3 linked regions of the Rattus norvegicus genome follow. The protein of the gene in region 3 interacts with the protein of the main gene of each other region in a pairwise test. Links are inferred from orthologs where the notes say so. Each region holds a gene or a part of one and is shown on either strand. Other genes may lie near its edges. The genes, in order: Tnfaip8l1, Wdr25 and Psme3.

What was found.
Region 1: the proteins of Psme3 (region 3) and Tnfaip8l1 interact in binary tests that used the Homo sapiens proteins (3 or more experiments, as listed by UniProt). The two-hybrid records come from large-scale screens. The link is inferred for Rattus norvegicus from reciprocal best matches to the Homo sapiens genes PSME3 and TNFAIP8L1.
Region 2: the proteins of Psme3 (region 3) and Wdr25 interact in binary tests that used the Homo sapiens proteins (3 or more experiments, as listed by UniProt). The two-hybrid records come from large-scale screens. The link is inferred for Rattus norvegicus from reciprocal best matches to the Homo sapiens genes PSME3 and WDR25.

The regions. Positions count from the first base shown.
Region 1 is NC_086027.1:1,074,396-1,078,723, forward strand, and holds the start of Tnfaip8l1 (tumor necrosis factor alpha-induced protein 8-like protein 1), read left to right. Parts: upstream 1-1,433; 5' UTR 1,434-1,510; intron 1,511-4,328. UniProt on the Homo sapiens protein: Acts as a negative regulator of mTOR activity.
Region 2 is NC_086024.1:133,573,953-133,578,045, reverse strand, and holds the start of Wdr25 (WD repeat-containing protein 25), read right to left. Parts: upstream 2,818-4,093; 5' UTR 2,722-2,817; intron 2,343-2,721; 5' UTR 2,315-2,342; coding exon 1,526-2,314; intron 1-1,525.
Region 3 is NC_086028.1:86,760,859-86,763,648, reverse strand, and holds part of Psme3 (proteasome activator complex subunit 3), read right to left. Parts: intron 2,300-2,790; coding exon 2,251-2,299; intron 1,880-2,250; coding exon 1,767-1,879; intron 1,384-1,766; coding exon 1,315-1,383; intron 1,206-1,314; coding exon 1,138-1,205; intron 1,001-1,137; coding exon 946-1,000; intron 833-945; coding exon 746-832; intron 1-745. UniProt on the Homo sapiens protein: Subunit of the 11S REG-gamma (also called PA28-gamma) proteasome regulator, a doughnut-shaped homoheptamer which associates with the proteasome. 11S REG-gamma activates the trypsin-like catalytic subunit of the proteasome but inhibits the chymotrypsin-like and postglutamyl-preferring (PGPH) subunits.

The sequences.
Region 1 (4,328 bases), on a different chromosome or scaffold from region 3:
ACTCTGAGGACCTGGTGAGGGAGACATTGGCAGAACCAGGGAAGACAGTCCACACCCTCACAAGAGCCTAGTCAAGGCTTCACCTGGGTATTCTAGGCAGAAGCTCCACCCTGGCCACGCCCCCAGCCCCCCACTGGTGGATTCTAGGCGAGTGGAAGGGGTAGGCTCCAGCTCTGAACCACACTTCTAACCCACACAGCTGGGTTTGAGCCCCACTTTATCACACCTATGATGTCTGTGGGTTCCCCAGTCTCACAGAATCAAGGTGCCCAAAAGATGCCCAAGAACCTGCTTCAGTGACACCTGCCCCCCCCCCCGAAAAAAACACACTAGCTACCCTGGCTCATACTTTCAAATCTGGGGTATGAAAATCTAGAGCTGTGGTCTCTCTTTTTGATACTGAGCCATGTCTAGGGTCGTGTGTGGCTGTCACAAGGCTGAGCTCCTGGCACAGAGTGGATGGAGGCTATGGTGACGCTCAGCACCCTGCAGGTTTCTGGCCCAGAGCGCAGATAATTTGAAATCAAGAAAGCCATTGGGGTCTGTGCTGCTCCAGGCAAGTCACTTAACCTCTCTGGATCTCAGTTTCTATCTCTCATAAGATATAAAGCTAGGATTTAATTTTGTGTGTTAAAGCCCGTGCCAGGAAAGGTCAGGATGTAGCCAGCAAACATCTGGGCTTCCCGAAGAGGGCCGGGGGCAGCTGAGGCTTCCCCCAGTGTCCTTGCTGTGACAAGGCCATCCAGGTTCAGCAAGTGCAGACCCATGGTGGAGAGTTGGGGTGGAGTTTGGAGTAAGGTGGGGGTGTTGGCCTAGGTTGGGGGTACTGGGGGTGTGGGAACCACTCCCAGACTGAGTTTCCAGGTCTCACAGCCTCCTCCTGGGAGGCAGCTGGCCATGCCCGGCCTTTGTTAGCGAAGACATCACAGTGTCCCGCCCCCACCTTACCCCAGAGACACCCACCTCCGTACTACTCAGGAACCACAAGGATTGTCCCAAGGCAAATGTTGAGTTGACACGGGGGTCCCAGATGACACTCTAACTACCTAGTGGGTAAACTAGGCCGGCCCAGAGGGGTGCATGTGTCTCGCGGAGGCGTGTTTCTTCGCTTTGGCCTCTCGGATCTCTGTCGCACTATGCACGCGTGCTGCATTTTTCTCTGTCCCAGTCTTTTCCTCTTCCCCGCCTCAGCACTCCTTTGGGCAGCTCTTGCCTAGGCACTCAGCTCAGCGCTGTTCCGGAGGAATTCCCCCGGCCGCAGGCTACGCCCTTGCTCACGCCCCTTTCCTGCCGAGCACCTCTTGGCAGAGGCTTGCTGCTATTGGCTCCTTTGTACACCGCCTGTGCGCTAGCTACCATTTGCTGAGCCAGTGAGGGTCTAGAGGGGGCGCGGCCTTCTCGGGAGCGTGGCCTCCCCGCCAGCCGCCCGGCTCAGATCTAGCGGCCAATGCCTCTGGCCCAGCAGAGGCACCTACAGAAAACTAAAGGCTTGACGGATCGCGGGGAGCAGGTGAGCTATGGGGTCCTACACCAGTTCTCCTGGGGTTTTCCCGTCCCTTCCTATTCCCACACCGCCCTATGTGCATCCTGCCTCAGTTTCACTGGCTTTGGGAGCATCGGTTGTTGTGAGCAGGTTGCTGTGGGCTAAGTTAGTAATCCTCAAGGGGAGACTGGATGGACTTGGCCCTGTACAGGCGTGCAGCCTGACTCCAAAATGGTCTGGGTATTCTCTGAGGTGGCCGACTGGACCCCACTGTGGCTCTGGCTGATGCAGGAATCTCACCTGAGCAGGGTCACCCTGACTGGGACTGGCACTGCAAGCTTCCCATTGCCTGAGGGCTTGGACTCAGTTTTACCAGCTGAGAACTGGGACAGTGACTGGCACATAATTGGCAGGTGACCTGGTACAGGTCTGTGGCCTTCTGGCTCTTTCAGTGGTGGCCTGGAGGGTAAACTAGGGTCCAGAACATGGGCTACGGTTGGCCAGCGAGAGGAGACAGACAGGGAATCAGACTCTGGCTTCTCACCTTTGTGAGCAGCAGGTCTGGAAAAGGGACAGGGTGGAACACTGAGCTGGAAACAGGCCTCTGGGTCACCTGAGCTCCAAGCTGTGAAGCCTCTGGAGGCCTGCCTTGGGGTCAGGACACAGCTCAGACAAACCTGACTCACTTGAACACGTAACTTAATTATAAGCCTCAGTTTCCCTGTTTGTCTTGGGACAGTTGTTTCATGACTCCCTGAGGCTTCTGGGAGGGTTAAAAGCAAAGACAAAATAGAAGGTGAGCCAGGGTGGGCTACACACTGAGGCCATGTCTAAAACAAACGGGACCCTGGAGTGTGGCCCAGTGGGTAGAGTGCACACCTAGTAGGCAAGAGGCCCTGAGTTCCAGCCCCAACATAACATAAACCAAGGGTCACGGTGCATGGTATTCACCCAGTGGTTAGAACAGAGGCTGGTGGATGCCTGTAAGTTTGAGGCCAGGTCTACAAAGGGAGTTCCAGGCTAGCCATAACTACACAGACAGATCAGCCATCTAAAAAAGAAAGAAAGAAAGAAGGAAAGAAAGAAAGAAGGGAAGAAAGAAAGAAAGAAAGAAAGAAAGAAAGAAAGAAAGAAAGAACTGGAACATGAGCTTTGTGTGCCAAAGGTCCTGTTTTTCTGTCCTGGGACCTCAAAGTGGCTGCCTCTTCTCCACATGGGTATCCTCACACTCAGAGCCTCTGCACGTGCGGAGCCCTCTACAACTCTGGCAGATCAACCCTGGCAGCACCAACTTTAAAACATAACAGGTTCACAATCCGGGCCACACCTAGGATGTGGGTGGCTGGGAGGGGTGAGGGCGAGGGCGGAGCAACGGGGACTGTACAAAGTAACAGAACAAAGAAAGTCATCATAGAACACCTGCCCTGGGCTTCCATGCTTGGTGAGCCATGCTTGGGAGTCCAGTGATGAGTGGTGGATCCTGAGGGTATGGACAGACATAGAGACTTCTCCGTCAGTTTACTTTCTGAGCCCTAGGCAAACTAGGACTCGTCCCACAAAAGTTTGTTTAATGATTACAAGTGAGGTGACTCAGCATACAGGCCAAATAATCGGGGCCACCAGAAGGCGTGCCACCTACTGACGGGTGCCATCCAGTGTTCAGTGAAAGCTTAGAGAGAGTGAGGCTCCATTCAGGAGCCCAGTGAGCCCACTCTTCCAAGAACCCCAGTGTGTCTTTTTCTGAGCCCCAACCTTGTGTTTCCCCATCTGGAAAACAGTTGAGGTAATTAAGAACCCCCCAGAAGGTGCTGTGCAGGTGGGGGCTTCTGCAGTCCTGACCAAAGGCCAGTTGAAGGAACCATGGAAGGGCTGACAGCATACAGAGCTCTGGAAGATTCCCAGGCCGGATCAATAGCCACCCCACCCCCTTCTCCATTTTAGGGTGGACCCCAGGGGAAGACTGCAGTTGGATAAGCTCTGAGGTAGGGACTGGATTCAAGTCCCAGTTCTGACCCAGCATTATTCTGTCACTCCCAGGCCCCTGACTCAGTTTCTCATTTTATCATAGCCATGAGGAATTACTTAGTCAGTTAACAAACTGTTCCCGAACACTGAGGTAAGTCAACTGTGTTAGTTAATGGCACCAGCACACAGCAGTGACCAAAGCTGGCCCCACGCCTACCATCTCCTGCCTCACAGTTGGTAAAGCTGGACTCTGTCCTGAGTTATAATGGTAACTGTGAAAAGAGAAAGGAACTGGGTAACTGGGTGTTCGTAGAGATGAGTGATCTGAGATTTCCAGGGTAAAGCAACCACGTAGCAACCTGTGGGAGAGAATGGTAAGTGGTAGGCTCAGCGTGTGTAAAGGTCCTGCTGTTTGTGAGAGCTATGGAGGAGGCACTGTGGCTGCAGAGGAGGGAGAGGGGAGCCATGGAGGGCAGAAGGCAGAGGGGCAGTTAACTCAGTGCTAATGGGGGCTTCTGGCATTTCAGGGACCCCTGACAGGGTAAGAGGAACCAGGATAGAGGCTTCAGACTGCTGAGAAATTCTGGGGCTGAGTGCACACACTGATGACCTTCATATTTCCCTTCCGTTAAAACATTGAGTGGATGCTGGGTGTGGTAGAACACACCTAAGAGGCTGAGGCAGGGGGATTACAGTAAAGCCAAAGGTAGCTTGGGCTGCAGCATAAGACCTTGTCTTAAACCCCAACCCTGAAGAAATGGAGTAGAAGTTGAATCAAAGATCCACACTCTCTTTGGCTCTGTAACAGTCTCTTTTAAAATACTTATTTATTCCTTTTTGTGAATATAAAGCTTAGAGGAAAACCAGCTGGGGTCCTCTC
Region 2 (4,093 bases), on a different chromosome or scaffold from region 3:
AGGGTAGGCCATCCTTGAGCTGTGGTTCTGGGTTCTATAAGAAAGCAGGCTGAGCAAGTCATGTGAGGCAAGCCAGTAAGCAGCACCCTCCACGGCCTCTGCATCGGCTCCTGCCTCCAATTTCTGGCCTTGTTTGGGTTGCTGCCCAGACTTCCTTAGATGATGGACTATGATGTGCAAATGGAAGCCAAATAATGCTTTCCTCCCCAATGTGCTTTTGGTATTCCATCAAAGCAATAGTAACCCTAACTAGGACAGGCACCAGCCTTGTTTTTTTAAAACTGTCTCTCGCCAGTCTGTATCTCACTACATAAGCTAAGTTACCTGACCAGAGAGCCCAAAAGACCCACCTCTTTCCACCTAGACTAGGTTTACAATTAGAGACCCATGTATCTGCGGGGAGGGGTTGAGACAGGGTTTCTCTGTGTAACAAGCTCTGGCTGTTCTGGACTTGCTTTGTAGACCAAGCTGGCCTCAAGCTGGGAGCACTTCAGGAGATGTGGTCTTACGACTGCCCCTTACTACAGCTTACTTGTTGCACACATCTCGGGCTCCCTTATTCTGCTGACTGTAAGTGGCAGTTACAGGCTGCCGTTAAATGTATTGCATGGTGGCACATAGAAAGCAGAGGCAGGCAGATCTCTTTGCCTTTGAGGCCAGTCTGGTCTACATATCGAGTTCGAGGCCAGTCAGGGCTAGCCACACACAGTGAGAGCCTGTCTTTAAAAAACAAACAAACAAGCAGAAAACACACTGCATCCCCCTGAAAACAGATGTCCAATTTCTCTAACTTCACAGGCAATAGAACATCTATATCTTCTCTCTCTCTCTCTCTCTCTCTCTCTCTCTCTCTCTCTCTCTCTCTCTCTGGGCCATAAGCTTTGGGGGAATAGATGTCTCAGGCTCTGGCAAGGGAATATGTAGGTAGCAACATGCTTACAGCAGTGTAGTTCATGGGATGTGCTACTAAAGGTAACAAAATGTCCAACCGCAGGAAAAGAAATGAACTACAGCATACTTGAGCTAAAATAATGTATGCATGCTGAACAGTACTAGTGTAACCTTTAATCCCCAAAGAGGCAGGAGGATCTCTCTAAGTTCGAGACCAACCTGATCTACAGAGCAAGTTCCAGGACAGCCAAAGCAGCACAGAGAAACACTGTCTTGAAATTAAAACATATGAGTATTACTATCAAGAGAAGTAAAATGTTTACCATCTAGTCATACTATAATTTATTTAACGTTGTAGTGCTATGGCAAGGCAGCCATATTTGAACAGTCAGTACAGAGAGACTACGGTCCCCAAGAAAGTGCTTTTTGGGAAAGAAAGGAATGGAGCAGGAAAGACCAAAGATCTGAGGCTGAGCATAGAGGACTCTCTCTCCAGTGTACCAAACAAAACTATAGAAGTTTCCAAAGGGAGTGTGTAGTCTGTGTCCACCCACTGCCTGCCTGACTCCAATCAGTAAAGCATCCCAGTAGCTTATGCCTAAGAGCCACTGGGAGTTGCTATCCTTCATCTTACCTTGAAGGTTTTGTCCATGGAAGCAGAGAGAAGCATGTGGCTCTTACTAAAGACCGGACACCACTGAATGCTGTTGACCGGGCCCCTGTGGCCTCGAAGATGGAAAAGCACTTTCTTGGGGACCGTAGTCTCTCTGTACTGACTGTTCAAATATGGCTGGATGAACTCGGACACTGTGGGAGCCACGCAGAGTGGGGCCGGGGCACACCCTGCAGGGGACCCCGGGGGCTCGACATCTCTGCCCCCAGTTGCTTCTGGATTCAGCACTTGCAGCTGCCTTAGTCTCTTGGGGATGTAGGGCAGCACGCAGGCCTCACCTCTCTTCCTCTGAGAGGAGCTGGCATTTCCAGCGGTGCTTTCCAGCTTGCTGTGAGTGTGAGAAGGTGTGAAGGCATCCCAGGCAGGTTTTAGTGGCTTAAAGCAGGCAGCTGCTAGGGGCACATGGCCAACTGGGGCTCGGTTCATCCACAAAGAAGGACCAGGAGGCTCACTGGTGGGGAAGGTGCTATCAGGTTCCTTTGAGGGCCACTGTAGCCTCTGGCTGGGACATGACCCCGGGTCACTTCTCCAGAGCCGAGCCAGGGGCAGACGCTGCTTCCCTGGGTCTTCATAAGGAGAGTTCCCTGTGTGCTGTGCCCCCTCTTTGGTCACACCTGTGCTAGATGCAAACTCCACCTCAGGTCTGCTGATACCAGAGACGTCGCTCATCTGACCAGCAGCGTCCCCACTTCTGGCAGGGTCAGCTTCCGACTCGGGGTCAGAATCATCATACGCCACCAGCGAGGCCATACGGTCACACGAAGGTGGCTCCCTAGAACTAAACAAGATCAAGAGTCAGCAACCGTGAAGATGTGGGTGATCCTGCACTTTAGAGCAGGATGTCCCCTTGAAAGTTAAAGCCATCAAACTCCACAAGCACAAACACATAAAGAACAAAAATGGAGTCCAGATATTTCAACATAAAGAAGCTATGTTTGGCGCAGGAGAGGTAGCTCAGTGATTGACAGTATATACAGCTCCTCCAGAGGATCCAAAGTCAGTCCCCTGGCCTACCTCAGGCAACTCACAACCACAGGTAGCCCTAGCTCCTGAGGATCCGACACCCTGTTCTGACCTCCATGATGACCCCCACCCACACGTACATGCCCGCACACCAACAGCATATGCATACGCACACTTAAAAATAGAAAACATACCTTTTAAAAAGGGAAAACTATAAAGTATATGATGTCTGGGCCAGCAAGAAGCCTCGGTGGATTAAAGGTGCTTGTCATCAAGCCGGAGCTTGGTCCCTGGAACCTACATGGTGGAAAGAGAAAATCAGCTCATGAAAATTGTCCCCCAACCTCAACATGTGTGCCTTGACATGCATGCTGTCACCCAGCCATATATACAAAAAAAGTTAAAAAAAAAAAAACAGAAATCATTTTTGGAGAGATATGTATGTTAACCCTAATTTAAATATTGCATAAACATATATAGAGACATTATATATAAAAATCCAAGTAATAGTAAAAAAAATGGATTTTCTATTAAGTAGACATAATTATTTATAGTGTGTGTGTGTGTGTGTGTGTGTGTGTGTGTGTGTGTGTGTGTGTGTGCACGTTGAGGCAGGGTTTCCCTGGATAGCCCTGCCTGTCCTAGAACTTGCTCTGTAGACCAGGCTGACCTCAAACTCACCAAGATCCATCTGCCTCTACCTCTTCAGTGCTTGGAGTAAAGACACAGGCTGCCATTGGCTGAACATATAAATTTTTAAATGGAAAGCTATGTGGGGCTGGGACTAAAACTCACTAACAGAACTCTTGCTAACATATGCAAGGTTCCAGGTTTTCCCCTCAGCATTGCAAAGCAGAGGAGAAGGAAGAGGAAGAGGAAGAGGAGGAGGAAGAAGAAGAGGAGGAGGAGGAGGAGGAGGAGGAGGAGGAGGAGGAGGAGGAGGAGGAGGAGGAGGAGGAGGAGGTAGAAAATAAGCAAGAGGACAACGATGTGCCTATGTATAGCAGCACCCACCTTTGAGGCTAGCACTCGTGAAGCCGAGGCAGGAGGATTATGATTTTAAGGCCACCCTGGGATACATAGCAAGACCCTGTTTTTAAAAACAACTTCAGCCTGGTGGTGGTGGTGCACACCTGTAACCTCAGGACTCAGCAGGCAGAGGCAAGTGGACATCTGAGTTGGAGGCCAGCCTGATCTGCAGATTGAGTTCAAAGACAGCCAGGACTACACAGAGAAACTGTCTCAAAAAACAACCAAAACAAAAACAAATAAACCAAAAAGCCCAAAGACCTACCTGGCATGCATAAAGCCCAGGATCAGGTCCTAAGGCGCCCCGGATAGGCATCTGGTCTACCCAACTGTGGTAAGAGCAATTCTAATCATGGCATCCAAATTTGTTTCTTTCACCCCAAATGCATATGTTCACACAGTACTGAATCTCCTTTTAAACGTTCTTCCTGAGGGGTTGGGGATTTAGCTCAGTGGTAGAGCGCTTGCCTAGCAAGCGCAAGGCCCTGGGTTCGGTCCCCAGCTCTGAAAAAAAAAAGAAAAAAAAAGAAAAGTTCT
Region 3 (2,790 bases):
AGGAACCAGAGTTCTCACTGCAGAGGAGCAGGCTGAGCTGACACCCAAGTCGGCAACTCTCAACTGTCACTAACTCCAGCTCTAGGGAATCTGATGTCCTCTTCTGCTGACCACAGGTGCCTGCACTCTCAAATGTGCATACACTGACACACAGACAAAAACAAAAAATCAAGCAGATTAAGATGTCTTTTATCCCATCACTTGAGAGACTGAGAGACAGAGTCAGTGGAACTCCCCCCCCCCCCCCCCCAGCTGGGGACCGAACCCAGGGCCTTGCACTTGCTAGGCAAGCGCTCTACCACTGAGCTAAATCCCCAACCCCAAGTCAGTGGAACTTTAAAGTCTGTCACCAACAGTGAGCTGCAGGACAACCAGGGATACGTAGTGAGACCTTATCTGAGGACAAACAAGATGAATCCCGCAGGAGAACTTGGTTGTAAAGCCACCTCTGGCACCAAGGCCTGTGCTTAAGCATCCATGTGTGGTGTAGCACCTCCACCTAGCTAGTACACACACACCCAACTCGACTCCCTCAGAGGTTCATGCTCTCTACTCCCAGCTGATAAACAGCTATTTCTGTACCCTGGGCCAGCCTCAAATTTTGGGTCCTACTGCTCAACCTCCTAAGATGGCACCATAGACAGACACCATCTCTGGACTCCTTTCATTCCGACCCCAGATTTATAGAAATCACCACAGGCCTATGAGAAGCAGGACAACTCTGGGCAGAGACTGATGTACTCACATACTGATTCCTCAGCTCTGAGATGATGAGGCGGAGGCTGATGTACTCTTTCTCATCGATCTCTGTGACAGTGCGGCGATAGTCCTCCTGCATGGGGAGTAGGGAGGCTCGTCTTCCAAGGCCCAAATGCCCACAGGCTGCTCAGTCCTACTCTCTTCTCTATCTTGCCACCCCACCTCAGACCACAAAACCCTACTTACCACATGGGGGTATTTAGCTATTTTAGAAACCAATTTGGCTCTTGTAATATAATATCTGGAAGGAAAAAAAAGCAGCTGAAGGGAGCCCTGAGCACGCCTCCCACTTCACCAACCACATTCCTGGGCCTGGACCCTGAGCACGCCTCCCACTTCACCATCCCCTGTTCCTAGGTCCAGCGCAAACCACCTTACCTAGAAATCTGGTCCAGATAAGACGCAGCTTCACTCTCGACAGTTCTTAGCTCTGCAACTGTTTCCTCCTGGGGATAAACAGGTGAGTCAGGTTACTTCCCCACCATCTACTGCAGCACCACAGAGCAAGGGAAAGCAAGCAGGGAAGGAGCGGAGTTTGCAACGCGGGCACACTACCTGAATCGACACCCCGAAGTTGTTCCCATCTTCTATCCTGGGAATCAAGAGCTGAACCCACATTTTGACCTAGAGCATGAGAAGACAAAATACTTGTAGAAGGACCTTGGTCCTTCCTACTTAGGCTTGGAAGTACATGATTCTTTTTTAGAAAGGATGTATTTACTTATTATATATAAGTACACGGTAGCTGTTTTCACACACACCAGAAGAGGGCATCAGATCTCATTATAGATGATTGTGAGCCACCATGTCATTGCTGGGAACTCAGGACCTCTAGAAGAGTAGTCGATGCTCTTAACCACTGAGCCATCTCTCCGGCCCCCGAAGTACATGATTCTTGCTGGTGGGGACTGATGCCAGGGCAAAGGAATCAAAGGCCTTAGCCTGCCAACCCCTCCCATCATTCCACAGTTCCAGAGGCGCTCGTTGGGCACGAACCCCTGCCTCACCGTGTTACATTTCTCGATCAGCAGCCGAATCTCAGGTTTTACTTTCTCAATAATGTCCACAAGCTGCTGGTTGCTTTTCAACATCCCGTTGGGCATCACAAACACCTTGGTTCCTGGAAGATATGTCAAGGACACATGTTCACTGCAGTGAAAAAGTAAGAGCAGCCTCCACCTTTTCCTTCTTCCCTTAAGCTGGATGTAATAATCTCTTCTAAGTGACTACACCACCCCTGATGGATCAGGTAGCAATTACTCCTACGGGGAAACTAAGGCACGGAATATGGGCCTCTAAGCATCCTCCCTGGTATCCACACAACCAGACCCTCTTGGCGTTCCAGAAGACTAAATGACTGAGCCAGGAGGATTTGCTGATTGTTAACCTTGGAAATTAAATGAGACCTCAGTTCCTGAAGTCCAGATCCATCCTACATCTCAGGGCGGCTAGTCAGCAGGTGAAGTGTGCTGATTAGATAGCAGCTCTTACCTTGGAAGGCCTCTTCACATTCATCCAACCTGCGCTTCTTGTAAGTGGGCTAAAGGTATAAAGAAGCAAGAATTAGTGTGGATTCAACACACATGCCCATCACAGACACTATACAAACAAGTTTAATTTTTGCATTCAACAAGCATGCCCATTACAAGATACTGTACAAGGAAGTGTAATTCCTTTCTGGACCCCAGAGATTATATATGAATTTCTTTTTTTGTTGTTGTTGTTGTTGTTGTTTCTGGAGCTGGGGACCGAACCCAGGGCCTTGCGCTTGCTAGGCAAGCACTCTACCACTGAGCTAAATCCCCACCCCTCTATCATATGAATTTCAATGCACACACACATAAAGTTTTTAAAAGGGGTTCTCGTCAAAAAGAAACTTACATTCTGGTTGGGAAGGCCAAAGTTACCACTAATAGAACACATTTAAAAAGCAGCCGAAGTGGTCAGTAGGTTGGCTCAGCAGGGAGAGGCACTTGCTGCCAAGTCTGATGACCCAAGTTTGATCTCTGGGTCCAATATGGCAGAAGGAAA